2 linked regions of the Notamacropus eugenii genome follow. The protein of the gene in region 1 purifies or fractionates together with the protein of each later gene. This does not show direct contact. Links are inferred from orthologs where the notes say so. Each region holds a gene or a part of one and is shown in the gene's direction. Other genes may lie near its edges. The genes, in order: DDX17 and DROSHA.

Evidence for each region.
Region 2: the proteins of DDX17 (region 1) and DROSHA purify together in Homo sapiens (co-immunoprecipitation; 3 studies listed by IntAct, with this or other methods). This does not show direct contact. The link is inferred for Notamacropus eugenii from reciprocal best matches to the Homo sapiens genes DDX17 and DROSHA.

Annotation. Positions count from the first base shown.
Region 1 is NC_092874.1:295,924,179-295,939,511, reverse strand, and holds the start of DDX17 (probable ATP-dependent RNA helicase DDX17), read left to right. Parts: upstream 1-9,375; 5' UTR 9,376-9,647; coding exon 9,648-9,697; intron 9,698-13,464; coding exon 13,465-13,615; intron 13,616-15,288; coding exon 15,289-15,333. UniProt on the Homo sapiens protein: As an RNA helicase, unwinds RNA and alters RNA structures through ATP binding and hydrolysis.
Region 2 is NC_092875.1:390,995,466-391,010,588, reverse strand, and holds the start of DROSHA (ribonuclease 3), read left to right. Parts: upstream 1-7,744; 5' UTR 7,745-7,909; intron 7,910-8,256; exon of another isoform or gene 8,257-8,315; intron 8,316-15,123. Other genes in the region: C4H5orf22 (UPF0489 protein C5orf22 homolog), read right to left, coding at 1,960-2,004, 2,106-2,255, 5,024-5,169, 7,301-7,381. UniProt on the Homo sapiens protein: Ribonuclease III double-stranded (ds) RNA-specific endoribonuclease that is involved in the initial step of microRNA (miRNA) biogenesis.

The DNA of each region.
Region 1 (15,333 bases):
CATCTTGAGGCTTCAAGGAGAGAGACTTGAGTCATATTAGGGGGTAGGAGGAAGAAGCAGAACCAGTAAAAGACTCAGAGAAGGAACAGCCAGAGAGGCAAGAGGGGAGTCAGGCTGCTGAAGTGTCACCAAAGTCAATATTTTCAAGAAGACTGGGAAAAATTTGATGTAGAGTTCTAAGAGAGACAGAGAACTGGGCATTGTCCACACAGTCCTTCATCAGGCCTTTCCTCAGGGCCTTTACAGCTTGGTAAAATCCGCTAGATTTTCTACCCCTTTGACACAAGAAGCCATGAACTGACACAAGTAAGCCAGTATTTTAGAAAAAGTAAGTTGGCTGTAGGGCCCAGCAACGATGGGCTGCCATATTGGTAATGTGGTATACTTGACTGTACAAACACTCCATCTCCATCTTATGTCCTTTTGAACTTTTAACATTTACAAAGCATTTCACCTAGGTCATCGGATTTTGTTCTCAAAATAAGCCTATGAATTTGGAAGGATAGATATCACCTTCTACTTCTTGGTAAACCCAAATGTATCCAGAAGCAGGTAGCAAGAAGAGTGGAGACTGTGGCATAGAAGAATCAGGTCTCTCAGCAAGATTTGTTGAAGGACATTTTTATAGCCAGTCAAGGTCTGAAGGATGAAGACCCAGGCATTGAAGCTTCTTCCAGAAGGAAGAATGTGACTGACTTGTTCCACATCTGCTGATCCAGGCTTGAACCAACCACTTGTGCCATGTGGATGCCACGTGCCCTGGATTAGGGTTGTGGGATACAATAGGACAAAATGGTTTCCCAGTAAGCCCCATCACCCACAGTTGTTGGAAATGTTTCACTAGTTATCCCAACTTGCAGGAGATTCTAGGTCAGTGGTTGGTGGAATATACAAGGTGTTCTCAGTTCTCTCTGCCTCTAAGTCTATGCTGTGGGATATTTGAACCCTATAATTGATTAAGAGTGAAAAAGGGAGAAAAGAAAAGGGAGGGGGCAATTGCATTGCCCCTGCGCAATTTTATTATTTGTGAAAGATGAGGAAGAGATAAGCACGGATGGATGAGGGATGGTATTGGGACAAAAGCATGGACATGGAAACATGAAAAAAATTTTCAGGAGACAGGGCATAGAATAGTGTGCCTCCAGCCAGGTATCCATGAAGGGTGTCCAGTTACAATTAGAAAGATAGATTGGGGGCCTTGAAAGTCAGGCTAAGATACCTGGACTTGCCCCCTATGTGATTTATATAAAGAATGACAGGAGGTTCAGAGTCAGGGGAATGAGATGATGAAACCGGCCTTTGAACTGCTGTCCCCTGGGATCCTAAACTGCCTCTCCTGGGTGCCAGAGGCATCCTGACTACCCATTAACAATAAACTTCAAATAAGTAGCTACCGTTATTCAGCAGCAGGAACACAGACATCCTCTTAAGGCCATTATTTCATATAATGCAGATCCCAGAGACGAACCTGTGGGTTTGTTTGTTTGTTTGCTTTTTTACTGCATTAATTCCTCCGAGCTAATGATAATAATAATAACTAACATTTATATTTCACTTACTAAGTGCTAAGCACTTTACAAATATCTCATTTGATCCTCACAACAGCCTCCTGAGGTAGGTGTTTATGTGTTATCCCCATTTTACAGATGAGGAAACAGGTGCAAACAGAGAAGTTTAAGTGACTTGCCCAGGGTCAGTCAGTATCAGAGGCAGGATTTGAACTTGGCTCTCCCTGCCTCCAAACCTGGAGGCCTTTCAGATCTGAAATTTTATGATGAATCAGAAGAGAAGTTTCCTTCACCCACTGCCCCATATAACTTATCTGGGCAATGTCTCCTTCCTGCCTGTGGGGGGACAATGGTGGAAAATTCTGGTGTTATGTTTGAAAATGAAGGTAAACAGAGGCAAGATTCTTTTATTAATTTTATTAGTTAGGCTAGCAGTAACCAATAAAGTGCATCAATGGCCTCTTTCAATGACTGTAGACCCTGAGTGAGGGCCAACAAGGTCTAGGTGCGTCTTCTTTCTGATTGGCCTGACGGTACATCATTGGGATCTCCCCTAGCAAAGGAGAAACCATCCCAATTGGTATATGTTTTCATGAGGAGGTGGGTTAAGATTACTTTGCCTTCTCCCCATTACTTCCTGTGGGGAGATGGGAGTAATCTTCAGGTAATAAAATTAGTCTGGAGACACTGTTTTGGTCTGTAGGAGGGCTTTAATTAAATTAACTTAATGAGTTAAGTGGCTGGTGGGTGAGGTTACAAGGGTGGACAATACCAGTGCAGAGATACAAACTTTAGAATTGAGATTCAAAGGACTTTACTCCAACCCTAGTAAAGGGTAGAGGTAGTTAGAAGACAAAAGCCTGACCTTTCTACACATTTCTCTAGCATGTAGGTGAAAGGTGAGTTTACAAGGGCAAGGAGTACACTCATGTGGTGTGAGAGAGAATAAACCTATGCCAGCTTGATGAAATCTTAAAAATAGAATTAAAATCCATTTTAAATTTTATACTGAATTTAAAGGATCTGGGAATCAATACTTTCCCCATTCATGGCTCCCAACTATATACTGGGTGTTCCCAAAGTATTTGTGTAGATTTAAGTAATTAAAGTTTTTAGTACATCCTGCACATGCAGTTCTTCTACCATGAGTCTCATGACACAAAACACCAGGATCTCTGAGTTGGAAGGGGCCTCAGAGACCAGCTAGTCTAGCCTGACCAGAAATTCCCTCTATAACATATGCCACAATCTGTCAACCTGCCAGACTTCCATTGGGAGGAACCTACTACCTCCACTGACTGTCCATTCCACTTTGGGACAACTTTAATTGTCAAGAAGAACAAATGTACAGGCTTAGAAGGAACTTGTCCAGTAGGTCTCCAAGGCCTCCTGATTTGCAGGTTCCCTCTCTCTCTCTCTCTCTCTCTCTCTCTCTCTCTCTCTCTCTCTCTCTCCCTCCCTCCCTCCCCCCGCCCCCCCTCCGCCCCATCAGGCCACACTGCTTTTCACACCCACTAAAAGTTTCAGGGCTTTTTCAGATTACTATCTAACTATAACTTTCCTATTCTGTACTGATAAAATAGATTGTTCAAACCCAGATCTAACACTTTACATTTCTTCCTTCTGAATCTCATCTTATTACAGTCACCACAACATTCTAGCCTACAGAGAGCTTTCTGGATTCCATTCCATTTCATTTGCAAATATGGTATGAGGAGGCCATGTGTAATATTCTTTGCACACCTTCAAGTGCTCTTGCACTTTTCTATGTGCTAATATTATTATTTTATTATTTATCCATGACATTGATTTAAAAAACCCCAAGATTAGCATGAAGGTCCCAAGCAGATGTCCAGGACAGGGATGGTTTTTGTCTTTTTTTTGTACCCCAGCTCTCAGCCTGGTGCTTGGCACATAGTGGGCTCTTAATGTTTGTTGGTTTGTCTTGCCTTCTGGGGCCATCTTCCCTGGATGGTACCAGAACAAACCCCCCAGTCTTCCTCTTGTTCTCTGCTGCTGTAGCCCTTCCTTTTCTTCTCCAGTGTCCATCCTTTCCCATCCCTTATACATTGCCATGTAAACTTTTAGGTGAGAACACCCTTGGGTGCTTGGGCAAGTCCCCTGTCATTCCATTTAGATATTACTCAACAGGCTTGGCATTAGTCTAAGTGTAAATCAGCCTCTTCCAGGCCACCTCTTTCCTCCTTCTCCTTGCCTCATTCCAGTTGGCTCATTTCTACCAGCCCTTTGGCCTACTAATCTTAGTGAGTTCTTAGCTTCAGACTACTTCTCCAAGTTCCCTGAAACCTGATTTGTGGGGTTTCCTGGCTTTTGCCATGGCAGCTCCCAAATGAATCCCCTTCTTCTGGTTATACAGGCAGGGGAAAGAATGTTGGCTTTTGAGTCAGAGGACCAGGGTGGGAATCCCAGCTTGGCCACTTATTATTACTTGTGTGAGTTCAGTCAGATAACCTCTTTGGACCTGGGTTTCCTCATCTGTAAAATGAGAGTCTTGGACAAGGTGACCTCTTGGGTAAATGCAGATGATCATAGAAATGTTTACATAGCCAAGCACTTTGCATATGTTATCTGAACTTCACAGTAACCTCATAGAAGAGGAAACTGAGTCTGAGAAGCACAGGGGCACATAGTGAGTCTGAGGCAAGATTCAAACTCAGGACGTTGTGACTTCAAGGCCAGTACCCTAGAATCCTAAGAACCAGTGCAACTCCCAAGCTTCCCTCTGATCATTTCCCCTTTGTTGCTTCCTTTACCTTTTGAAAAAGTTCTATTGATGCCACGTTTTTTACACAAATTATTTTGATCTAATATATATCAAACCTTCCCTTGTAACAAAGAAAAAAACAGTAAAGCCTAGTCATCAAATGGCCATGTCTATGCCCATAGCCTTTCTACCCCCATCTCTCTAGCTAGAGGAGAGAAGATATTTCATCATCTCCTCTGTAGAACCAAGACTGATCATTACAAGTAATTTACCCCTGTAATCTATTACAACTAGCTATCTGTAATCTTTTTTTTTTAATTGAGGCTGAAAAAGGTTAAGTGATTTACCAGGGTCACACAGCTACTAAGTATCTGAGGCTGGACTTGAATTTGTATCCTTCTGACTCCAGGGTCACTGCTCTATCCACTGTGCTACCTAGCTGCCCCTGCTTCTATAATCTTGATCAGTCTCTCCTGAGATTTCCAAAATTCTGAACAGAATCTTTTATAGGTTAGCAAGATTACCAGCCCTCCTCTCACCTTACTGTTCCTTAGGCTGCTACATATCTACCCCCTGAACCTCCAAATCTCTGCTTCTTTTCAGTCTTGGTAGAAGGGAAAGAGAACTAAGGGACTGGGTCCAATTTGGTCACTCACTAGCCAGGTGACTTTGGACAAGTCACTGCTTACTTCTCTGGACCTCAGTTTCATCACTGGTAAAATGAGAAGGTTGGAGCAGAAAGGTCTCTATGGGCTCCTTCCTGCTCTGTCAAGTCCATGGCATCAGTTTGATTGTTCAGTTCCTTTGGCCTGAACCAGAAAAGACATGCACAAAGATCATATGGGAAAAGTTTTTTTTTCTAGCTACAGTTAATTTTAAAAATATTGAGCACCTACCTTGAGTAAAGTCCCATGGTGGGTGATGAGTCAGCAACAATGTAAAACTGACATCTTATAAAAGTTTTAGGCTTGTGGGATGTGTCTTGAGAAATGTTGAGATGGTTGGTAGCATGGATGGTCAGTTAGTGTGGTGAGATTATATTTAAACAGGGAGAGGGATGATAAGCAGAAGAAGTCAACAAGGAAGGCATAAGACCTTCCCAGGAGGGCCAGGGATCCAGTCTTATTTAAAATGTGAATTTCCTTTAATCCAGCAAATATTCGTTATGCTCATATGTGAAGTGAGAGGAACCATGGCTTGGTGCTCAGAGTGCCAGCCTTAGAGTCAAGAAGTCCTATATTCAAAGCCTGCTTCCAACACATCTTGGTGAGACACAACTCCTAGGCTACCCTAGAAGACTGTAAACTACAAAGGGTTCTCCAGCTATACTATCAGAGGAAGTTTCTGAGGGATGAAATTGCAGATCCCTTCTCTCCTCCTCACCCCACCACGAAATGTTCTAGGTGCTGGGTTAGTCCTGGGGATTCAAAATAAAGTATTCCTGGCTCTCATCCTACCCAGAAAAGTAAATAAATGCAATTGGAGTGAGGAAAAAGGACCAATCATGTCATAGGAACTAGATCTAGAGCTGTAAGAGACATCAGACCTAGTTTTACAGAGTAGGAAACTGAGGCCCAGAGAGGTCATCACTTGGGTAGTGGAATTTTAACCCAGCTCCTCTGAATCTGTAGCCAGTGGTCTTTTCACTGTGCCTTGCTTCTTCCTGAGGTGATCAGGAAAGGTTTCCCATAAGTAGTGGCAGTAGAATTAAGCCTTGAAGAAACTAGGGTTTCAGAGAAACATAGAAGTAAGGAGAAAGCCTTCCAAATAAGCCAGATAGCCTGAGCAAAGGTACAGTGCTCTCTGTCTTAGAAAGAAATGGTATTCCCCAGGAGATCAATGGTCAGAGGAGATGACCAGGCAGAGTGTTGGGTGGCTTTTTTTTTTTTTTGGTAATTAAGTCATTTTATTTTTTTTCAAATTACATGTAAAGACAATTTTTTACAAGATTTTGAGTTCCAAATTTTTCTCCTTCCTTCCCTCCTCTCTGATATAGGTTATACATATGCAGTCACGTAAAACATATTTCCCCATTAGTCATGTTGTGAAAGAAAAAACAGAACAAAAGGGAAAAACCATGAAAAAAACAAAGAAACTGAAAATAGTATACATTCAGACTGTCAGTTCTTTCTCTGGATGTAGACAGCATTTTTCTGTCATGAGTCCTTGTAAATGTCTTAGATCACTGTGTCACTGAGGAAATCACCACTAAGTCAATCGTGGTTGATTATTGCACAATGTTGCTGTTACCGTGTACACTGTTACGGTTTTGCTCACTTCACTCAGGATCAGACCATGTAAATAAATCTTTCCAGGTTTTCCTGAAATCTAGACCAGGCAGTTTTCAAAAGAAGAAATTCAAGGTATCAACAGCCAGATGGAAAAATGCTTCAAATCACATGCAAGTTGAAACAGCTGTAGATTCTAGCTCAGACTGGCAAAGATGGCCTCAAAAAGGAAAATGACAATTTTGGGAGGGCCAGGTACACCAGTGGACTGTTGATAGGAGCTGTGAATTGCTCCAGCTATTCTTAAAAGCAGCTTGGAATTATACCCCCAAAATCACTTATGTGTGTGTCTCTTGAACTAGTCATATATCTTGCAAGAGGTCCAAGACAGAGGAGAAGGCCCCATATGTACACAATTTTTTATTAGCCAGTACTTTTTATTGTCAGAAAGACTGTAAACAAAGTGAGTGCCCATCAATTGGGAAAATGCTGAACAGATTGTGGTACATGAATGTAATGGGATGTAATGTACTATAAGAAATGAGAAAAGGGACAGATTGAGAGAAATTTGGGATGATGATGCAGAGAGGAGCCAAAACAATTTACACTACAGCCACACTGTAATGACAAATAACTGGGGAAGGACTTCAGAATGCTGCTCCATCCAAACTCCTGGAAGACGGAGGATGAAGTCTGTTTCCCATGTCTGGGAAGAGGTTAGATGGAGGAGGATCCAGGAGACATATACCTTCGGATGCGGCCAGGGAGTGATTTTGCTTTGCATAAATCAACTATGCTTTTTTATAATAAGGGAGGCCTTTTTTTGGGTGTGGGGGGGGGGTGCTGAAAATAAATGAGGAAGGAGTGATACTAATGTCCAAAAAAGAAAAAGAAAAGTGTCAGTGAAATATTTTAAAATACACAGAAGGGGAATCAGACAAGCAGGCCAGTGTTGAAACTGCCATATTTAACTAAACGCATACTTTAAAAAGCCAAGCTGTCCATAATAGAGCTTTGTGGTTTCCTACACAATCTTTTTTTCTCCACAAATAGAAATGTTTGTGTTTTCCCTGATGTTTGCTAAGCTTAGGATTAAAAATAAATTATTTTAAAAAAGCAATTAAGGACAGTGACCCCCAGGAACTGGAATTACAATTGGAATTAGCTGAATGGAGTTAAATAGGGAGGTCTAGAAGACATTGAGTGATTGATGCTGGCCCTTAAAAAGTGCCTGGTGAATTCATTAAGGAGAAAAGATTAAAGTCTTGACGGAATATTATCGTGGGAAGACAGCATGAGTCCGGGCTGGGGAAGGTATTGTCTCATGCAGGAAGGAGCCCAAAGCGACATAGGGGAAGAAGGCTGTGGGACTGGAGGGGGAGGGGTAGAGCTCCCCACACAAGTAGTAAGAGAAGCCCTGGGAGCTGAAGGGCTGAGATCCCGATACCTCATGGGTCTGTCCTGGGGATCAGATGAGGCAGAGGATGCCAGTGCTTCGCACATCCAGGCCAAGTCCTAGTGTTATCCAAAGGGAACTAGCCAGGAATCATCTGAGATGGTGAACATTATGCCAAATCTAAGTTCTCCATTTTTAGATGAGGGAATTGAGTCCTAGAGAAGTGACTTGGCCAAGGTCACCGGCTCATTTCTGGCAGAGGCCTCCTGCCTTGGACCTCACTCTCCATCAGGGATGGACTGGGGCCAGCAGGTCCTGCGCAGCTCGCTTTCCAGCCTGCCCACCTCCTTCCCAGCGTCTGCTAGCCTAAGGACTGACACTTTGTAGCAATCTTGGTGCGCCGTCAGCGCGGAGCCCTGGGCTTAGAGTCTGGAAGACCTGAGTTCAAATCCGACCCCAGACGCCAGGTAGCCGTGTGACCCTGGGCAAGTCACCTACCCTGTTTCCTCCTCTTCAAAATGAATTGAAGGAAACGACCAACCACTCCAAAGGCGTCCCTGAAAGTGGGGTCCAACTGGAGGGAGAATGAGCCTGCGGCCCGAGCCGGGGAGGTCCGGGCTCAGATCCTGCCGTGGGTCTCGAGGCCAGTCACTTTCCCTCGGTTTCTTCTGGGGTAAAAAGAGGGAAGTCACGAAGCATTTATGAAGCCCCTACTGGTAACCAAGCTCTTGGTTCGCTAAAGACACCAAACCTCCCCCCCCTTCCCCCGCCTGCCGTCTAAGGAGGGGCGCACCAGGGAACCCAATCCAGTGCCAGTTCAGGGACAGGCTTGGACCGGAGAACCGGCTTTCAGCGGCCAGCTCGTTGTGCATTTATTAAGCGCCTGCAGTGTGCCTGCTAGCCCGAGCGCTAGATAATTACTGGGCACCTCGAAAAGAGGCGGGGGGTGGGGGGGAGGTCCGGTGCGCAGGCGCACCGCGAGTTAGGGGGAGGGGCGGGCCCTGCGGACAGCGGCGGGGGGAAGGGCGGGGACGGCGGCGCTCCAAAGCCCGCAACATGGAGGACGTTATTGTCGTCGCGGCGACGCCGCCGCAGTGGAGGCCGGAACCCGGTATTCTCCACCTCCGCTACACTACGTAGAGGGCGCAGTGCCGCGGTCGCGGGCGGGCGGCGGGCTGCGGACGCCAGGAATGTTACGTAGCGACCCGGCCGCTCCCCGCCCCTCCCCCTCTCCCCCGCCCCTCCCCCGCCCCAGCTTACGCCACGTCGTCGCCCCGGCCGCGCGCCAGCTCTACGCGCGCTGCGTAGCTCGGGGGCGCCCTGGCGGGCGGCGGGTGGCGGCCGCCTGCGCAGTCGGCGTGGCGCGCGTTCGGGAATGGCGCCGGGGCCCTCTGCTGGGGGCGCGCGGGGCGGGGGGAGGGGCGCGCTATCCGGAGCGGCTTACGTGCCGCCTGGGCCGTGCGTAGCGCTGGAGACGGCGCGGCGGCCGCCATTTTGTGGAGCCGCGCCGCTGAGGGAGGAAGGAGCCGCCGCAGCCGCCGCCGCCGCCGCAGCGCGCCCGCCTTCTCCCAGCCCCGCGCCCGTCTCCGACGCGACCGCAGGCGACGGTGGCGACGCCGACGACGGCAGACGTCGCCGAGGAGCGAGCGCTTCCGAACCCCGGGCCCGCCTCGGCCTCGTCCGCCGCCGCCTCCGCCGGGCCCCTCCGCGCGGCCTGCGCCCCCGCCGCCGCCTCGCTGCTCCTCAGGCCCCCGCCCGGCCGCGCCCCGCTGCCCGACCCCGGCGCCACCATGCGAGGAGGCGGCTTCGGAGACCGCGACCGGGACCGGGACCGCGGAGGGTGAGGCGGGGAAACCGAGGCAGGGGGAGGGGGCGGGCCGACTGGGCTGGACCCCGAGGCGCGGAGGGGGGGGGGTCACCATGGAGGCCGCGGGCACCCCCGGAGGAGGAGACTGAGGCAGGACCGGCGCGGGAAACGGCCCTTATTTATTCAGGGGGCGGCCGGGGCGACTTGGCCCCGGGTCCAGATGGGGAAACCGAGGCGCGGAGAGGAACCTAGGCCTTGGAGCTGGGAGGGTGTGGACCTTGTTCGGAGCCTTGTAGAGGCGGGGAAAGGAGGCGAGAACCCTGCCGGAGGTGGCGGAGGCTGCCCCCTCCTCCCCCCGGCCCCGGGGAGCGCTTTCCCGTCCGCAGAGGGCCCGCAGAAATACCGCAGGAGAGGAAGGTCGGGGAGGGCCCAGCCCGCGGCGCTCCTCTCCCTCCGCTCCCAATCCTGTTAGGTGGGGGGAGGGGCCAGGAACCAGGCCCGGAAAAGTTCCCCGTGGAGCTGAGCAGGACCTGGCCCCGAGGCTCGAGTGCCAAGATCCTCACGATCTCGGGCTCCAAGGGGCCGTTGGTGGTGAAGGGAAGAAAGGAATCCCCCATCAGATACAGAAATAGGATTTTTTAAAAACCCTTTTAAAACAAAGATTACAGAAAAAAACTACTGTGCTCCAGAGGATGGTGGGGAAATAAAGAGGGATATTTGGAATCAAATTGAGGAGGAAATGGAAGGTCCGTAGGGGCCAGGAATATTGTGGTTTTAGGTTTAACACCTGGGGGGCACTTAATGCTTAAAGAAAGACTAGCATTTTCCCTTGTTGCCTCTGTTTGTTGCCTTAGCTTCTTGTGGCATCTCCAGCTAAGGGTGTCTAGTATCTAGCTTTTTGGGTTCAGAGTTCTTTATGTGTTAAAGTCGTTTGGCAGGTTAATAATCCTTTAATTTGTATAGTGCTGCATTTCTCTTGATCCTTAGAGGGGATCTTGGAAGCCAACAGCTTCCAGCCAGGTCAAAGGACTTTCCCTAGATCACATGACTCATTGACTGGCCCTGGCCTGGAAGGTAGCCAGGTATACTGATTGCCCACTCTTACTCTTGACTTTTCTCTTCTGATGGAGATCTAGTGGGCATTAAGTAAAACATTTGTTCATTGCATTGAGGATTCCACCAGTGCAGAGTAATGTCGATTTTCTATCTTAAGAAGATTCAAAGAAACATGGTGCTGCCATTTTGGAATATGCACTCCTACTTGTAGACTCTTTAATTGTAGCATTTTAACTGAAGAAGGTGCTTTGGGGGCCCATTTAAGAGAATACAGAAGGTATTTAGCCAGTTGCTGCCTCTTTGACAGGTCTTAAATCAGGTATGAAGGGTAATGGTCTTGGTTTTTTTTAAAAGACTCAAGGCCCATTCTCCTACTGGATCCTTAATATGGTCAGTTGAGCTTTCTCATTGTAAGTTCAGATTTTGGGAAGGTGAATTTTAAATTTGAGTTATTATACAAACTACTTAATTCTAAGCTTTCAAAATGTTAAATGGTGGTATAAAATCTTTTGGGAGTGGGGTCTGGAGAAATTTAAACTAAAAACCAATAGATCAGGTCTGCAGCATATTGAAATATATAGTAATAGGATCATGTCTGATTTTGCCTCTCAATGTCACTTTAGCTTGTTGAAGAGCCAAATGGTTTGAATTTGCCTATTCTCTATACAAATACCAGATACATATATTTCATGATAATGTACCTTAAGGTGTAACTATCAGGAGAAGATAGCAGCTTCTGATTCTTGTTTCATTACTTAGCGCTATTCCTGAATGCCTCCATAAATTTCAAATGACAGAACAGTTGCCTTAGTACAAATAAAGTGGTGCCATTTTAGGTGCCTGTAAAGACCTTTTCATTCCTTTCTCAATTATCCCAACTTATTTTTGCCCAGATAACTAAATTGTTAAACGATATACACAGGAATGGGTATGGTTAAGTAAGTGATGGCTGTTTTTGTGATATAGTGCAAAGTTCTGGCCAGCAGCTTCTCAGCATCCTTTTAATACGTACCAGAAATTTTATAAAATTACATAAATATTTAGCATCCAAAAATAACTGGTAAGAAGTTGGATATTACCGATCCCCCAAATTGTACTCTTGCAAAGCCCACTTGAACGGTTATTTTTTTTAAAGATGGAATAGATCATACAAATCCATATGTGGGCAACCTTTTTGGCTTAGCTTTCATTGATATAAATGTGTTTGAAAGAGTTGAATAGCCTTCAATTGATAATGGTTTCATCCAGAAACTTTCTGATATAACAGGACAGATTATAATTAGTTAATTGCTAATTAGTAAAATTTAAATCATTAAAGAGAGTTGTTGGGCTTATTAAACACATTATTATGAAAGCAAATACATAAAGTGTCAGACAATTTTTTTAAACCCCATCACCACCCATCTTTAGTGCAAAATAATAAAATAATTTTGTATTAATAGCAAGAGCAAAGGTCTGACATTCTTAAGAAAATAGGTGCATCATTTTATTTGTTAGTTTAAAAAAAAATGGAGCAGTGCTGTTAGAACTAAACCAGAAATGGATAGCTGGGAGATTTAATCCAACCCAAACGCAGGCCTTTGCTTCCTTGTTTGGAGAAGAACCTGTTAGCTTTGCCTCTGTAGTCTTGGTGGTGTAGGCTAGAGAAGATGCCGTTGAAATGACTGTTTGAGCTGGGGATTGTTTATATGAAAAGAACGAAACCTTTTTTCTCCAATGAAATCTCTTTGTTCTGTTTGCTTTAAACTGTCGAAAGTGAATACAGATATTCGGATAATAGGAACATCTTCATTCTGAAATGTGTAAACAATCACTAGACATTTTGCTTACATGACCTCATTTAATATACTGCTACAAAGTAATTTTAAAGAGCAAATTTGAATAATTTTTATTTGGAGGAATTTTTCCATTTAATATTATATACTCCAAAATAATTTTTCAAATTATCTTTTTCAGAAGTTTACTTAAAAGATTAGGAGGAAAATGCCACATTTTATGTAGATTTCCTTAACTGTTTGCTGGCCTTAATATTTTATTTTCTGATACCTGTGATCTGTATGCATAAATATCAAGCTGGCTTTATCCAGAGATGGAGGAAAAGATCCATTATTAAGCTACTTAGCTAAAATGGCTGTCTTTGCTGGTTTCATTTTTGAACTTCCTTTATGGTTCTTATTCACTGATGAAAGATTCTTTTGTGAAATAAGCCAGTGGTTTCAAAGGAACATGAGTGATTTTAATTCTTCAAAACAAGTTGGAACTGTCCTTTTTGTCCTTTCCTATTTATATTTAGAGAAGATTGTAATTGTGTATGTATATCAAGATTTTTTAATAATTTGAATTACAGGAAAAAGTTGGAGACTCAGTTGGACTTTTAAAAATAAGCCATGCATTAATTATAAAGTTGGACTTCCAGAATTGCTTCCATAGCAATAAGTTCTGAGTAGATTTGTGAAAGAAGAATCTAATTAAGCATGGCATGTTACAAGGTGGGGAAGGAAGAGCATCCTAATGTTAGACACTGGGAGAGCCGACTCCTCACTTCCTGATGTTCAGTTTTATGGAAAAGGCATTGATGAGGAAGACTTTAGACAGCCAGATTTTGTTGTCTGCAGGTGTAGCTGTCTAGAATGGCATTTGAGGTTTAATTTAATATTTTATTTAATCTTTTACTTTTAAAAAGAAAGGGTCTAGTGTACTTTTTGAAAAATGTAAATAAAGTGGACTAATTTTGATGGGCTTAGGTTTGGAGCAAGAGGAGGTGGAGGCCTACCTCCAAAGAAATTCGGTAATCCTGGGGAACGTTTGCGCAAAAAGAAATGGGATCTGAGTGAGCTGCCAAAGTTTGAGAAGAACTTTTATGTGGAACACCCTGAGGTGGCCAGGCTTACCCCGGTAAGTTTCTACAGTGGGTTTTGTAAACATGAAGAAAATTATAAAATGGCAAGCATGTACTTAAGTGGTGGTTTTTATCTTAACATGCTATGAGTCTCTTATTATTTCCATGTCTTTACCTCTGTTATAGTTGATCAGTATAAAATGCATTTTTGCAATAAAATGATTTCAGTATATTTGGAAAGTACAAATAATTCACCACTTACAGTAATATTTGAGAGCCAGGAAATGAGAACTGGTATTGTTCCTAATTGTAAATGTCTTGTCAGGTTCATCGGATTTGAAGTTGGAAGGGTCCTTAGAGAATACTTAGTACAATATTTGCTTTACTTTGTGCTAAATAAATAGTAAACTATAAAATAGAGCCATCTGGTTGCTTATTTCCATTCCAAATGTTCACTCTGTAATAATCTGAGTTTGAACTATTACAATATGATACAGAATAAAAAGCTAAATTTACCAGAGCTTCGTCAAACTATTCTTTGTGTATTTTATACTTTGATTGACAAATGGACAAAAAGGATAAAATGAAAATTTTTTTTTTTTTTTTGGCCTAATGATGACCCTAGAGCCCTGAGAAATTCCAAATCAAAGAAAAATGAACATTTACAGGAGGGTTTTCATAGTGGGAAGAACATCAGTCTAGGATTGGGGAGACTAGTTGACTTTGCCTTTGATTAGTTATCCAACTTGGAACACAATACTGTGCTTTTTTTCTTTTCCCCCCCTTTGGTCAAAAAGCATTTCTTAAGTACTTACTGTATGGCCGGCAATGAGTTAAGCAGTAGCTTCACTTGATCATTTGTAACATGGGGCTAGAATTACTACTTTACAGGGTCATTTTAAACATCAAATGGATAAGGGCTATGAGATACAGTTTTGTTACTAAGAAACAATGTAAACATAAAAATTAATTTCCATCTACAACATGAGTTGAAACATGGTTAGGATGCCTTGAAAAATGATAAGGCCTCTGGAATACCTACTTCTTTGACCATTTGTAGATAATTAAGATTTTGCTATACCTTTATTGTATCTTCCAGTTTCTTCTATATCTTTCTGTATCCTCCAGCTAAAAATCTTGTGGGAAAAACAAATGCAATCTTGAACAAGGATAGCTGTTTTATATTGTGCATCTCATTAAGTTCTGTGTATGAATAGGGAATTGCTGACCTCTTCCTATGCCTCAGTATAATCCAGTAGAATTTAATTCAGTTACTTCAAACCATAACTAAGAATAACTAGCATTTATATAGTAGCTGTTATAGGCCAGGCACTGTGCTGAGTGCTTTTATGAATGTCTCATTTGATACTTAAAACAGCTGGAGATATAGGTGTTATTATCTATATTTTACCATTGAAGAAGTTGAGATGAGCAGAAGACAAGGTCACATAATAAGAGTCTAAGGCCAGATTTGAAGTTGGGTCTTCTTGACTCCAGACTCAGCCCTTTTTCCACTGCACCACTAGCTTCCTCAAAAGATTTCCGTTAGTCTGCGCCATGCTTAAAACTGGTAGGGGAAAACAGCATTTTAAAGGCTTCCTAGTAGATACTTGGCTTTATTTTAATGAAATGGAAATTCCCATAATGGTTGCCAAGTTAAAGGAAGCTATACCATGACTGTCCCAAATAGAAACTTTGTGCCAACCTGCTTGGTTTCATCTTACTGTAGTACGAGGTTGATGAACTGCGCCGGAAGAAGGAGATCACAGTGAGA
Region 2 (15,123 bases), on another chromosome or scaffold:
ATTTGATCAGGGTTCAAATCCCAGGATAGACACTTACTATCTGTGCAACCTGTGGATTAGACGAAATCTCAGGTTCTCTTCTACCTCTAACATTCTGTGTCTGTGTGAAATTCACTTTCTTTCATTTATCCAAATTTCACTGACTATACTGAGCAGCGCATACATATATTTTGTCTTCAAGATCAACAAAGAACAGAACCTGTAAGATGAAAAATGTGGGCTAGGCAATCTCTGAGATGCCTTTTAGCTAGCAGATTTGGTGACTTTGTAAGAACAGCTAATACTACTCCCATAGCCTCCCCCAATCCCTCAAGGCTTCTGTTGAACATTTAGCTTAACTGCTTAAAGGAGTGGAAAATCATGTCCAATACATCAAGGGCTTGTGATTTCATCAGTGTGATAATTCAATTGGAGAAAGCAGATCACAAGCTGTGTATAACATAAAGAATTAAGTGAACTGCCTGAGGCTTCGAAAAGTTAAGTGATTTTTCCATTATGCTGAAGCTAGTAATTGTCAGTTCAGAGGCAGAATTCAAACCCAGGGTCTCCCTGACTGGCACTCTAGCAATAAAATCATATTTCATTTTTATTAACCTGCTAGCTATCAGGTCAGGCTCACATTTTACAATATTAGTTTTACAAGTTGTCCTATACACAACTTGAAAATAAATAATTTTTATTATGTATATAAAAATACTGCCAGTACAGCATATATTTTGTTAGAAAAAAGTGTTTTGATATCCAAAAGTATTACACTGGTAATACAAGATACATAGCAAAGTTTGTTATACTGGTGTACATAATGTAAATTAGTCATGTGTAACACATGCTATGGTAGATGTGAATTATTATGCACTTTAGCCCTCTAAATTGTTTAAAATTAATGATCTTAAAGGACCACTCTAGATCTAAATATGTGATCCTAAGATGGAAATTCTAATGCTACAATTGGTGTTAGTAACTGCATGAAAATGGCTGGAATAGTTTTTAAATATAAGTGAAAAAAAAAAGAAAATAATATTAAGTTGATATGTAAGATAAGGACCTAATTCTACATAAAACAGCCTATTTGGTCACTCAATTGTTAATGACAAAATAGTATGCAGTAATAGAAAGGGAAAAACAGCAACACATTCTTTTTTGTGTTTTTTTAAAATAACAAAAAAATTTTCCATACTAACTGAAAACTAGACTAGTATATTCTTAAGAGTTCTAAGACAGAACATTTTAAAACACAATGGTGCCACTCTCATTTAAAATTTGGAAAGGTAGCCCAGTACAGAAGAATCCTGAAAACAAAAATTCACCAAAATTTACACATTAAAATAAAAATCAGAAAACAGGAAACATTTAATTCTGGCAGTGGTTTCAGAAAAGAATGATGAAAATGGAGTCAGAGGATCTGGGTTCTAACAATAATTAATCCCTCTAAGCTTCAATTTCCTCATAGGTAAAATGGGGATAATAATATTTGCACTACCTCTCACGGTGTGAGAGAAAACTAGTTTTTAACTGAAAAGCACAGATAAATATGAGTTATCAGTGAGATGAAATGAGAGAACATCTGGAAATTAAAATAAGAAAAAAGGATCTAATATTGTGCGTTGCATACACTACGTTTTGCATTATTTAATCAAAGGGTCTAAGGGACACTGCCTGCCAAAGAATTAAAGTGAATTAATGAAGTCACTCACGAGATGAAAAAAAGATTAGAATTCAGAGTTCTATTTTAGAACAAAATTATAATTTGAAAGATTTAAACATCGACTTAAATTTAAGGGCAAAATATAAAAGTACTATGTGCATGTGCGGCAAGTGCATTTGGGTGGCAGAGAGATGGATTTATAAGACAAAACCTGGATTCAAATACCAGGTCTGACAATTACTAGCTCAGGGCAAGACACTGTAACTATCTAAGCCTCAATTTTCTCATCTGTGAAAGGAGATATTAGTACTTACATCACAGAGTTGTTGAGAGGAGGGCACTCTCTAAGCTTCTGAAGCCTACAAAGACATGAGCAATAGCTCATTATCCTATTTAGCTATGACTAAAAGACATGAAGCATTCAACCCTTTTCATACCAATAGAAATGATAATGTGCTACCTGATAGTTGTAGTGGAGGTATCTTTGCCCACTAGAAAACAATGTTTGCCCTCCTTGATTTGCTGAGCCCATGATGGATGGAGCCATATTACATGAGAAAAATGACCTGCATAAACTACAGGCATAATCCAGTTCTCAATACTCAATTCCCTAGAGAAGAAATTAAAGAAGAAACATTTAAGTTATAAATTAAAAAACTTTCATTTAAATCTAAAAATACTCTTTACATAGTTAATATGCTAGAACTAGTTAGAGAAACACTTACTTTTATCAACATTTGCTTGGTTTACTTTAAAATTCCAAGCTACAGAAAATTGCTACTGAAAGGAATGAAAATGAAAGAATTACAGTACTTCTCTAAGGATCAATACCCCATCCAAAAAAAACCAAAAGAGGATGGTGGTGGTAAATTGTACGTAGTCTTTTGTAAAAATTTAAAAAAAAGGAATATACAGTCACAGAAAAATACTGAATAAAATTTCAGCTGAATGAAGTTGGAGTTGTGTCAGAGAAGCAAGCATAATTCAACATCAGGAAAACAATCAACAATTCTCTTTAAAAATACAATAATGTGGTCCAGGGGATAGAGGGCAGGCATCAGAGTCAGGAAGAGCTACATTCATGTGCCACCTAAAATAGGTTTAATGACCTTAGGAAAGTCACTTAATCTCTCAGTCACTGAGGCAACTCTCTACTGCTATAAGCACAAAGTGGAGACCTCTATGCACAGGTAGGGGTGGGGAAGAGAAGTGTGAAAGCAGAGTTTCCTCAGCAGAAATTCAAAATACCAATGAAATCACAGGTCTGGGAAAAAAACCAAAAACATCACAAACTACTTGATTCTATCAGTAGATGAAACAGAACACACATAGAGAAGTACCACATCTAAATGACTGTATGTATATATGTGTTTGACGAAAAGTTACCATTATTTGCAATGGGGAAACTCTAGAAGCTTTCACAATAAAGGAGTAAAAGAAGAATGTCACTTTTCCCACTGTTTTATGACATAATCCTACAAACATCAGCCCTAGCAGTAAAACAAGAGAAAAAAACTAAAGGCATAAGCATAGATGAAGAAGAGACAAGATGAATCCCTATTTGCAGATAACATGATGGTTTCCTTGGACAATCTTATAAAGCAAGGAAATGGATACAGTAGCTTGGATAAAGTAGCAGAATACAAAATAAATGCATGAAAATAAACAGCATTTCTATATATCAACAACAAATAAAAAGAAAAAAATAATAATGCTAAATTGTGGTTTTCTAAGTAAATATGTGGCTGTAGGGATCTGTTTCTATTTGAGTCTGATCCCACTGACATAAGAGATAATCAGGAAATGCATGATCAGAAAAGGAAGTGAATGGACAAATAGAAGGAGGGAAGGATAACAGATGGTTAGTGTTCTATTGGTACCACAGAAATGTACAAAAACCTAGAAGGCCCAAAGCATACTGGATGAATTCTCTGTGGAGGATCTTTGAAGACAATCAGCAAGAGGCAGAGGATGAGATGGAATAGATTTAATTCCAACTTGCAACAATAATCAATATTTAATTTAAGTTCTCATATGCAACGAGGCAATAAAGTACATTATTTATGATGGATAGTTTCATTCTTTTTCCTAAAAATCTGTTGTGACATATTCTGTCATATTTGGGGGATGTTTTAAGGGAGATTTAGCTTTCAGGTAAGGAGTTATGGCTTTTGAGGTCTCTTCCAAATGAGATTCTCTAATTCAGAAATTAAGGATCATAACTGAATTTATATAAGAAAACTTCTCATATTGTCCATGACCTATGACCTAGAATAGGGTATATACTCCAAAGAGGTCAAAGAGAAGAAAAGCCATATATGAGTTATAGTGCCCCCAAACCTCAAAACAAAGTGGATGCGCATCTCTTGGGGAGTGACTCAAAATGAACAAACTACGTTACATTAGTATAACAGCATACAATTTGATGTTGAGAAACGACAAACCTGAGGAATTAGAAAAAACACAGGAGTAATAATAGACTAAGACAGAATGAAAGAAACAGAATAATAATAAAAATAATAATTGGAATTAAAACAGCAGCTCATATTTACTTGGTCTTTAAGGTTTGCAAAGTATTTTATATACATTATGAAAATACTAAAAAGGAGTTGAAAAGATTGCTTTGCTTAATTTTTCTCCCTGTGTCCCTCTTAAGAAAGCAAAAAGAGAAAAATAAATTCCTTGTAACAAATGTGTAGTCAAGGAAACAAATATCCACAACGTGCATAACCAAAATGTCTTATCCTGCATTTTAAGTCCATCAACTTTGTGTCAGGAAGTGGGTAGCACTGTTCAACTCTGGTCCTCCGGACTTTGATTGGTCACTGAATCAGTCAGGAACTCTGCTTAATTGTAATGCTCAATCTCATTAAATTGAGAACTGATGACAAAACATTTCTTCACTCTCTCAAATGTTTTGTTATCAATTCTCAATTTAATGACAGCAGTGGGATAAGCACAAGTAGACTACGGCACATATATCACATATATAGTCTTGTATCTTTGGTTTTGCTTGCACATGCTTCTTTTTTTATAAGGAGGGTTCATGGAGAATAGGGAGGAAATGCAGAGAGAAAATGGGGTATAAAAATAAAAGACACAATAAATCTAAAACCAAAAAAATCACTTTTCAGCAAAACATAGTACACTGCAAATAGCACAGAAAGCTATTTGCTCAACCTTTTACTCCTTGCCTATGAATTTTGTAATTCAAAGCAAAGGAAAAAAAAAACAAACCAAAAACATATGCTGTGGGCATATGTGACTCAGGGCAAATTAAACTTATAGACAATTCTACTTCCTTAGTTACTAAACATCTGTATTAAAAAAACTAAGTTTCAAACACATGAGAATTGACTAGTATTGAATATACATTACCCGAAGAGAGCTTCCTTGTCAAACACAGTATCTGCTGGCATATTTACGGGAATAAGGAGGTCAGGATGTGAATCAAAATGAACAAAAGTTATGTTATTGGCAGGAAGATGTTTTGAGCCAATAGCTCGGTATATAAAAGGCAAGACCTACAGGAGATAAATGAAAGCACAAATACATTATATTGGCTTTGAGAAAAAAACCCTAAAATAAGAAAACTTTAACATCATAAAGAGCTAAATTTTAAACGGGAGAGATGTAGCATTATTTATTGTTGATGATGTCCAAATCGCTATTTCTAGTCAGTGCACTGTCATTCTATCCTATCTCTAGAAACAACTACTAGTGTGATCTAGAAGGATTGCTTAACTTCTTCAGGACTTAAGTCTCATTTATAAAATAAAGGTGCTGAAATGGTTGATCTCTAAGGTCTTTTTTTTTTAGCTCTAGAATTCTATGATTCTGTGCCTAGAATGGAAGATCTTACTTTCTGATTCTTCCCTCCTCTCCCCCTGGAACCTGCATTAACTAATTTCTCTAGGATATATAGACTGATGACTTAAGGGCAAGGCTTCCTAAAAATATTACTTATAGTTCTAGGTTGGTGACTGTTATCTGCTGCATAGGTAAAACCAAAACAAATTCATTATATGAATTAGATTTTTAAAAGAATGAAAGAATCATAGTTTTTAAAAGTTCAATATCACAGTCCTACTGGTTGCTATACTCAACCTGAGATCAAGGTCCAAAAACAGAGCAGGGAGTCTGGCTTTTTTCTTTCAACTACTGGAAATGAAAATGTACAATAGGTGCATCCACTGTCTCTCCGCTCACTCTCTTCTTAATCCCTTGCAGTCTGGCGTCTGATCTTATTACTCCAACCAAACTGTTCTTTCCAAAGTTACTACTGATCTCCTTGTTGCAAAATCCACTGTCTATTCTCAATCCTCATTCTCTTAGACCTTTCTTCAGTCTTTAACATTGTGGATCAACCTCTGACTTGATGACTGCTAAGAATTTCTTCCTTTTGTACTAGACTGAGGAAAAGGGCCTCCTCTTTTGTTTTCATAATTATTTTATTTGTATTCAGTTGTCTACAATCACTGCCATATATCTTTCCCCCTCCCCCCCTCCTTCCCTGTCCCTTGGTGCATCATATAGGTTCTACACATACATTCTTTTAAAATATATTTTCACTTTAGTCATATTGCATAGAAGAATTAACATGAATGGGAGAGACCATAAAACAAAACAAAACATAACACAAGAGAAGATGGTCAACTTCATTCTGCGATCCAATTCCACAGTTCTTGATGTGGAAGGCATTTGGCCTCAAAAGTCCACCGGGAAATTTTTAGGTAAGAGGACCTTAGCTTCTGATAGTGTCTCACTCTGAGGGAATAAACTGTAATTCTGACCTCTAGGTCACTTGGCTACTTACTGGCATTACCCAGTCAATGAATCCCAGGACAATGTCGTAATAACCCCATCTACAATTTGTACTTCGGTTTGCATGCTCTCTCCCCCATTAGATTGGAAGCACCTAGACCGTTGGGCTTTTCTTTGAATCTGAAGCTCTAAGCTCAATACCTGGGACACAGCAGGCGTTAATAAATGCTTAATTCATTCTTGACTGATCACGTTCTCTATTCATTAATCCATGCCTAACTCCATTACCCTATGAGTAGTCCTTCAAAACATTAATACCACAGATCAATCCCACCATGCGCCAGGCACTGTGCTAAGAGCTGAGGACAATACAAAAAGACACAAAAGATCAATTCTGCTGACCACGGAGCTTACGTTCTAATGGAAAAGAGTAACAAGAAAAAATAACACAAACAACATACATACAGGACAAACAGTAAATAAATGGAAGAGGGAAGGCTCTGGAATCAGGAGAATTGGGGAAGACTTTCTGTACAAAGCGGGATTTTAATTGGGCTTAAGGAAAGCCAGGTTAGAAGGGGAGCATTGCAGGAACGGGGGTTGGGGTCCAGAGGAAGGCGCGAACCCGAGAGATGGGGGGTCCCTCCCGTTCACTCAGCAGCCCGCGGCGGGGTCAGTGTCACGGGGGCGTGGGGTAGATGAGCCCGAGGCGGGGGTCAGGTGGAAGAAGCCTGGAAAGACAGGAGGGGGCCGGCTTGGAACACCAAACCCAGCGTTTTGTACGTGATCCCGGGGGTCACAGGGAGCCCTCGGAGTTTGAGTCTGGGGAGTGACCTGGTCGGGCGCGCGCTCTTCCAGGCCCAGCCCTGACACCCGGGGCCGAGCTCTTACCTCCTGGTGATCCTCCACCACCCACACGGGTAACTTCGGGTAGAGCCTGAGCGGAGGCCGCTGGCCGGGGGACTGGGTCATTTTGATCCGCGCTCAGAACTTCCAGGTCCCCAGACTTCCGAGATGGAACCTCAGGCTTGCGAATGTTCCATGTGAGGAGTGAAGGAGGAGCTACGGGGAGAAATTTAGAGGACCAAAACACTCCAAACCCTACAAGCAGGAGAAAACTAATCAGCGGAAATACTAGCTTTCACCCGGATGTGGAAGGAGGAAGGGCGGGCCAACCTAGTTTGAATCTCCCCGCCCCCTGAGGGATGCACAGCGTTGATTGGATCTTCTAGGCTTTCTCTTCCTGACGCAACTAGCTCCTTTACCCCTTTCGGAGGGAAGCTGGAGCGCATGCGCTTGCCGCAGGGCTGTCTCATACGCCGCAGTCCTGCCCTTTACTCCCTGGCTTCCGGTTCCAGTGGTGCGGGCTCTCCTGCCGCAGCCTTGGCCCTCCGGCTCCTCCCTGTTTCCCCCCTGGTGGTTGCTGCGGTAGAGGAGGCTGGCGTTTGCTAGTGTCGGGCTTCGCTCCCCGCCACCCAGCTGCTTTGGCAGCTCTTGCAGGTAAGGAGAGAGGCCCACGGATGCCACCTGGTTTGCGGGTGTCTGTTCCAGGACTCGCTGTTCCCCCCGTCCCAGGGGAAGCCGCCGTCTCACGGAGGCGGGGCGGGGGGGATGCTGGGGCCAAGGAGTCGGGGCTGGCTCCTGGCCTCGGTGGGGCCTGCAGCTATGTCCCGGCCCTCGTGATCCTCCAGGCTCTCCCGCTCCGGAATCCTGGGACGAGCCCGCTGCGATGCAGGGACGCGAGAGGCAAAGTGACCCCACTGGGGATGCCTCCGTGAAGTAGCTGCGCGGTGGGGGTGGGGAAGGCGAGCCGGGCGGATTTCAGATTTCTCTTCTTTGATTCATAGGTTGCCATGGGCAAAGAATTCATCACCCTACGGACAGCCCGCTGGTGATGAGCCTCTCTGTACGTAGCTGAGTCGGTCCTTGGAAGCAGTCAGCTTTTTGTCGTTGCTGCATGCGTTTTACCTGAATTATTCCTCCTGTAGCCCTAACCTTCCCTAAGGCGTCTTTCTGCTGGCTTACTTTTGGGGCGGGTGGGGGCAAGGTAATTTTCTCACTTGATAGTTTTACGATCACAAGTCTTTTTTTTAAGTTAAAATTTTCAGTTCATGCATTAATTTACTGTGTCTTTGGAAGTTTAATTTCCTAATCGTTTCATTTATAAATATAAAAACTTCCAAGATGTGTAGTGGTGTAGTGGATGGAAGTGTTGGAGTCAGGAAAACCTGCGTTCAGATCCTTTCTTAAAGAAATAGCTGGGCAAGCTACATGGCATAGGACATCTCTCAGTCTTAGTTTCCCCATCTATAAAATGGGCATAATAAGGTTGTGGTGACAATCAAATGAATCAGCATGTTAAAATACCTTGTAATCGGTAAGCTGCCATACAGAGCACTGTTTTGAGAATATTTTTATATATTGAACTTTTTCATGATAATGCAGTAAGCAAAACACAATACAAAATTGCAATAAAAGCAGTTCTTTCCATACAGTAAACATTTCTCATATTTAGATAATTGTTTTCAATATCTTTATAGCCAGTCTTATTTTCTCTCCTGAACTTCATTCCTGCATTAGTAAATATTCTAGTTGACATTTCAGACATAATGTCCTCAAAATCAAATCAACGTGAGGAAAACTGAACTCATCCCATTAAATAAATGTAAGCTCCTTGAGAGTAGAGATTTGATTACTTCTTTGTATTTGGATTCCTATTTCTTACTGCAGTACCTGGCACACAGTGGACTCTGAAATGCTTGTTGACTGATGAACCTTCCTCCAAAATTAATGAATTTTCTGAACATCTCTATTGCTGTTGGTATTATGGTGTTCTATGATTCTTCCAGTCACTCAGGTTTGCACTCATGGTGTCATTCTTGACTGACTCTTCACTCTCATTTGTTCTCTGTATCCCATCAGTTGTCAACTCTTGTTGTCCAGCTCCTGTTGTCTGTCAGGGCCTTAGGAGGTCTCAGTTAGACTTGAAATAGCTTCCTAGTTGGTCTCTCAAGTGTCTTTGTACTTCCATTCATCATTCCATTCTCCACACAGCTGCCCAAGTGATTTTCCTGAAGTGTAGGGTAGAACATGTCACTCCTCCACTGAATAAAATTCCAGTGACTCCCTAAGATCAAAGATCAAATAAAGACTCTTTGGATCATAAAGCCGTTCACAACTTTGTCAGAATTTAACTTGCTGCCTTATTATTGTAAGTTACTCCCTTTCACATATATTGTGGTTCAGCCAAACCTGCCTTCTTAGTGTTTTTTATACACAATGCTTAAATTCTGTTCTGTGCCTCTGTGTTGATTGGGTCTCAGTACCCAGAATACATTCTCTCATCATCTCCAGCCCTTTCAGTAAGAATCCCAAGTTTCTTCAAGGTTCAACTGAAGGACCATATATATGATGCCTATCCTCATCTCAGCTGCTAGTGCCTTCGTGCCAAATTTACCTTGTATCTGTTTTATATATTTTTATCTATCTGTCTCTATACACATCCTCTGGTTAGAATGTATGCCACTTAAAGTCAAAGATTTTCACTTTTATCTTTTAATACTTAGTATAGCATATTGACTGTTACATAGGTGCTCAATAAATGCTTATTGATTGATATAGGGAATACTGATATATAAAACTGAATCTATAATGAATTTTTTTCCCTAAATGACATAAAATTGTTGGCAGAGATAGTAAGCAAGCCCAAGTCTTCTGATTCCAAGTTCAGTGTTCCCTGTACTGTAACACTGTACTTATAGATAAGCATGTGTCTGTAGTTTATGATATACAATGTTAAAGAGAAGCATGTACTGTGCAACACTGTGCTCATAGATAAACATGTAATAAAAATGTACAGAGGTAAACTCTGGACATACATGAAAAAAGAATTTAATATTGTGACCTCTAGAATTCATTTTCCTTGTCTGTAAAATTAGGATGTTGGATTTGATCATGCAAAATTAAGCATTTTATTTAAGCTTCCTGCATAGAAAAGTAAGGATTAATTATGACTCCTTCACACTTAAAATTTTGAAGCCTTAAAAATTTTGCTTCCCAGGTATTTTGACCTTTTGGGAATAGTGGTAGTAAATCTTAGGCTTTGGGAAGAGTGATGGAAACATAGGAGAGATGAGGGCAAAATACAGGATAGAATGTGATAGATCCAAATGTAGTGATTCATGAGAAATGTTAGGAAAAGGTACTGAAAATGCAACATTGAAATGAGGGAGTATTCAATGAAAAGTCATTCTTAGATGAGAAATTCCACTGGATCTACGATCTTATTCATCAAGAGTATCCTCCAGCAATATAGACTGTAACCATCTCTATTCCTTCCTTTTCCTTGTATGACTTATATCTGTCCTTTAAAAAGTTTTCCATAAAGATGTTGGAGGCCTTCATTTCACTTGACATTAGGCTATCCGTGGAACATTGGCAACCCATCATCCCTTGTTCTTTCCTCATGAATAGCTTATATTCTCTTCCGGTCATACAGTTTCTTGATGACATCTTTTACTCCTGTTCTTCAGAGTTCTTGTTGTAACCTTATTACACCATACACTTTTCCATTTCCCTCGGTATGATGCTCATTTTTACTTCTTCACAGGCAGGTGTATTCCATGTCTTGATACCTTATAGCAGCACCAGTTCAATAGTATTAAAGAAATGACCCTTTGCTTATGTCAGAATCTTGAGGTAAATAAAGGAGCTTTGCAATTTCCCCAAAGCAGTTCAATTCTTTTGCCACATCCTGTTCAACTCTACCCAACTCATTGTCCATCAATAGTACTCTCAGTTGAAGCATTATGGTATGTTCATCTAGAAGCATGTTGAAATTTGAGTAATAGACATTTTTCATTCACTTGGTTTTTCCTGGGTAGATAGATAAGCCGAACTTCTTTGATTGCAGATCTCTTCCAGGAAGCTCAGTATCTCAGGACTTTTGATGCAGTCATCACATTGTCTTCTTTGAGCAACAACAAAGTGAGAATCTTGCTATTCACAGAGAAAAGCTCTTCAACCCAAACTCTGATGTATCAGCTCTGTAAAAGTGACAAATGCATTTCCCTGTTCAGTGCTTTGCCTCATGGTTTATTTTTTAGTCATGGGTTAATGAACAGGATTGTTTCTGTTATATCTTTAATTCAAATAAGATTAAGGTTTGTTATATGCTCAGTCTCCCTAACCTTTCTTCTCCATTTGTATACTTTTCTTCTCATGCATCCCAATTATGAAAAGTAGCAAGTTCTACCTCTTTTTTCCCTCTTTATAAACTAGTGTGTAGCCCTTGGTCCTCCCTTTTCTCTCTTAAAATTTGTAGAATAGAACCAAGTATTCTGTTTTTCTTTATTATTTCTCTTAGTACCTTTTGAAGACATTAAAGTTTTGAAGGGACACTTGCTTTTTCTTTGCTTATTTCAGTGTTAGTACTAAATCATCATTCAGCTTTAAATTGTTCAAATAATTTTACCTTTCTGAGTTTTTCTTGAGTCTTGTGTTTGCATTTCAGAGTTCATATCCTTTCTATTAAAGGCTTGAAAGCCCTCTTCACTTAAAAGTCCATATTTTTTTTTTCCTTTGCAGGATTTATTTAGCTATTTAAAAATTTAAGTTTTCTTGGTTGTAAGCTAGAAGAAGCAGTGGGTAGAGTGTTGGGTCTGGAATGAGAAACACGTGGGTTCAAATATGGCCTCAGACACTTTTTAGCTGCATTCCTGGTTACTTAATCTCCGTTTGCTTGTTTCCTCATATATAAAATGGGAATAGTAATAATACCTGCCTCCTATAGTTGTTGGGAACGTCAGATGAGGTGATAATTATAAAGCAGTTAACACAGGGCCTGACACATAGTAGGTGCTATGTAAATATTAGCTACTATTGCATACTTTTATCTTTTGCTTTTTGGAATATTTTTCCAAGATCTCCTCTGGTTTATGCTAGAAGCTTCCATGTCCTGTGTGATCCTGCTTGTGGTTTCTTTATTGAACTGTTTCTTTCTAGTTGGTTGCAAAATTTTTTCTTTAACCTGGAAGAACTAGATTTTGATTGACATTCCTGAGGTTTTCCTTTTGAATTTTCTTTGAGGAGATGATTGTTGGATTCTGTATTTCCTCATTTTGTCCCCTGGTTCTCATAAATCTGGGCAGTTTTAATTTATACTTTCTTGAAATACTGTTTTAATTTATGCTATTTTGAAATATCCAAGCTTTGTCTATATTTTATACTGATTTTCAGATATAGCAGTGATTCTTAAATGATCTCTCCTTGACCTGTTTTTCAGACTAGTTATTTTTCACATACAATGCCTTACATTTTCTAATATTCTTCATGATTTTGATGTAATATTTCTTGTCTCATGAAGTCATTCATATCTCTTTCATCTATTTTAATTTTGGGGGCAACTGTTACTCAAGTTAAGATTAACTCTTTGTCCAATTTTCTCTTGAGCTTTTATTTTATTTTTAAATTTCTTGCTTCATTTTTTCTGGGTATTCATATAGTTTCTATTGAAAGCCCATTTTTTTCCTTTGAATCTCTGCTTACTGTTGGTGTGGACTTATTTTTGGTTATTTCTCCAGAGATGGGGAACCTACGGCCTGAAGGCTACGTGTGATCCTCTAGGTCCTCAAGTGCATCCCTTTGACTGAATCCAAACTTCACGGAACAAATCTCCTTAATGAAAAGATTTGTTCTATAAAACTTGGGCTCAGTCAAAAGACTGCACCCAAGGATCTAGAGGGCCACAGGTTCCCCCACCCCTGTTAGACTTTATTATAGTTCTTTACTCATCTCTTCAATCATAGGTTCTAAAGTGACAGGTTCCTTCTGTTGTTGCTCTTTGGTCTTCTCTCCTTAGGTTCAGTTTGGGTCACCTGGGTACCTCTGCCAAATTCCACCATGAATTTTTAAGGTTAAGAACATTGGGAAAGCCCTAAATGGCATCTCGGGACAAAATAGTATAGATCTCTGAGCACCTGGGCTCAGAGTATCCACATCTGAACTCTGATACATCTGCATGGATTCTCCTGTTGTTTTGTTGAGAGCCCCTTTCATGCTTGCAGCCTTTCACACAGCCTTGTAAATATCTCTGATTATGCTGGTTAGCTAGTTGCTGGCTTTGATTTTTTCTGGTGTCCTCATTTCCTGTTTTTCTGATCTACTGCCTTTCTACAGTTACAACATGAAAGATGTCACTTAATGTAGTTTCTCATTGGATTTCTTGATTATTGTTTAGCACAGTGTTTTGGTTTTTTTTCAGAAGCTGATATGAAGAAGCTGAGCTTGGTGCCTCCATACAGGAAACCATCCTTTTTTTGTTTGTTTAAATAAGGATGCTGTTGTTCTTTTTTTTTTTCAATTGTACACCATATGCATCTTTTTTCATTCTTTTGTTTTACTCATTTTGATCTTAGCAATGATGAGTTGATGCTCTTAACTGTTTCCTGAAAGCTGATTCTTGGATAGCTTCTACATCAAAAATGTCTTACTAGTTCAAATAATTTATTTCCCCTTGCCCCATACACACGTATAGTGTTATTTGGTATTTTTCATGTACAGTATCTATCAATTCTTTCTTTAAAGAAACAAAAGAATTCATATTATAGTGTCAAGAGATTTCTATTTCATTCACAAATCTTTGACCTCTCTGATTCTTTCTTCCTGAACCATGATGTGCTTCATATTTCTCAGCATCCTTACCTTATCCAAACTTTTCATTGAAATCACCAAGAATAATGATATATGTTGATTTGATGTGGAAAGGCTTATCAAATTCTTCCATTTACTTTTTCTACCTTTCTAGCCTCAGCAACTGAAGTTGGAATGTAAGCTGTTTTCATGGTAGTCTTTTGTCACATAGCATTAGTACTACATACAGTACATGATGACTAAAAATCTAATAAAATAATCTTTCTTTAGGCATATGGTTAAATCCACTCAGATAACTTTTTTTTTTTTTTTTGCCTTGCCTTGGAGTATCTGTGAGTCATCCTTCCACTTAGCTGTAAATTACTTTTTTTTTTTTTTATGGTGTCATTTATAGCAAGAATGTCAAAATTGATATGATTCAGTTCTTTCTGTTCATTTGTACATTGGACAAGTATCTCACATTTATAATATTGAGTCAAATTTTTCAGTTTTTTAATGGTTTAAAAGTTATGCAACTTAGCACCTCATGTTCCTTTTCTTCCCCATCTGCTGCTGGAGAAGGAGGAGGGGGCTGTATGGAATTGAAGACCATTTAAAGGTTTTCTTTGTTTTGTAGATTGCTGTGGACAAACAAAAAGCATTGCTAAGTGACCAGCTTACTGGTAATATGTCTCTTTGTAGTGAGCCAGGGTAATCTTCTGAAAAAAAGATTCAGTTATTTCAGGGGTCATACTCAGAGCCTTTCTGGCCTGGTAAAGCCAGCCAGAGCTTACAGTGTACTGGGATAACCTTTGAGAACCTAAGGGTACCTCCATGCTATGGTGTGGCAGGAAAAAATAGCAACAACAACAACAAAAACCAAGAATAAAATTAGAAAAGAACAGATCTACCTTTGCTCTGTGAATTATTATTATCCCTTTGCCATAAACCTAAAGTCCTATCCTTTATTGCATCCTTCCTTTTCTCCCCTTATAGGTTTTTTTTTTTAATTCCCATTTTGTTGTTCTTAGCTTCCTTTACTAACCTCTGCTGAACCTGAACTTTTATATTCTGGATGCTTTTTT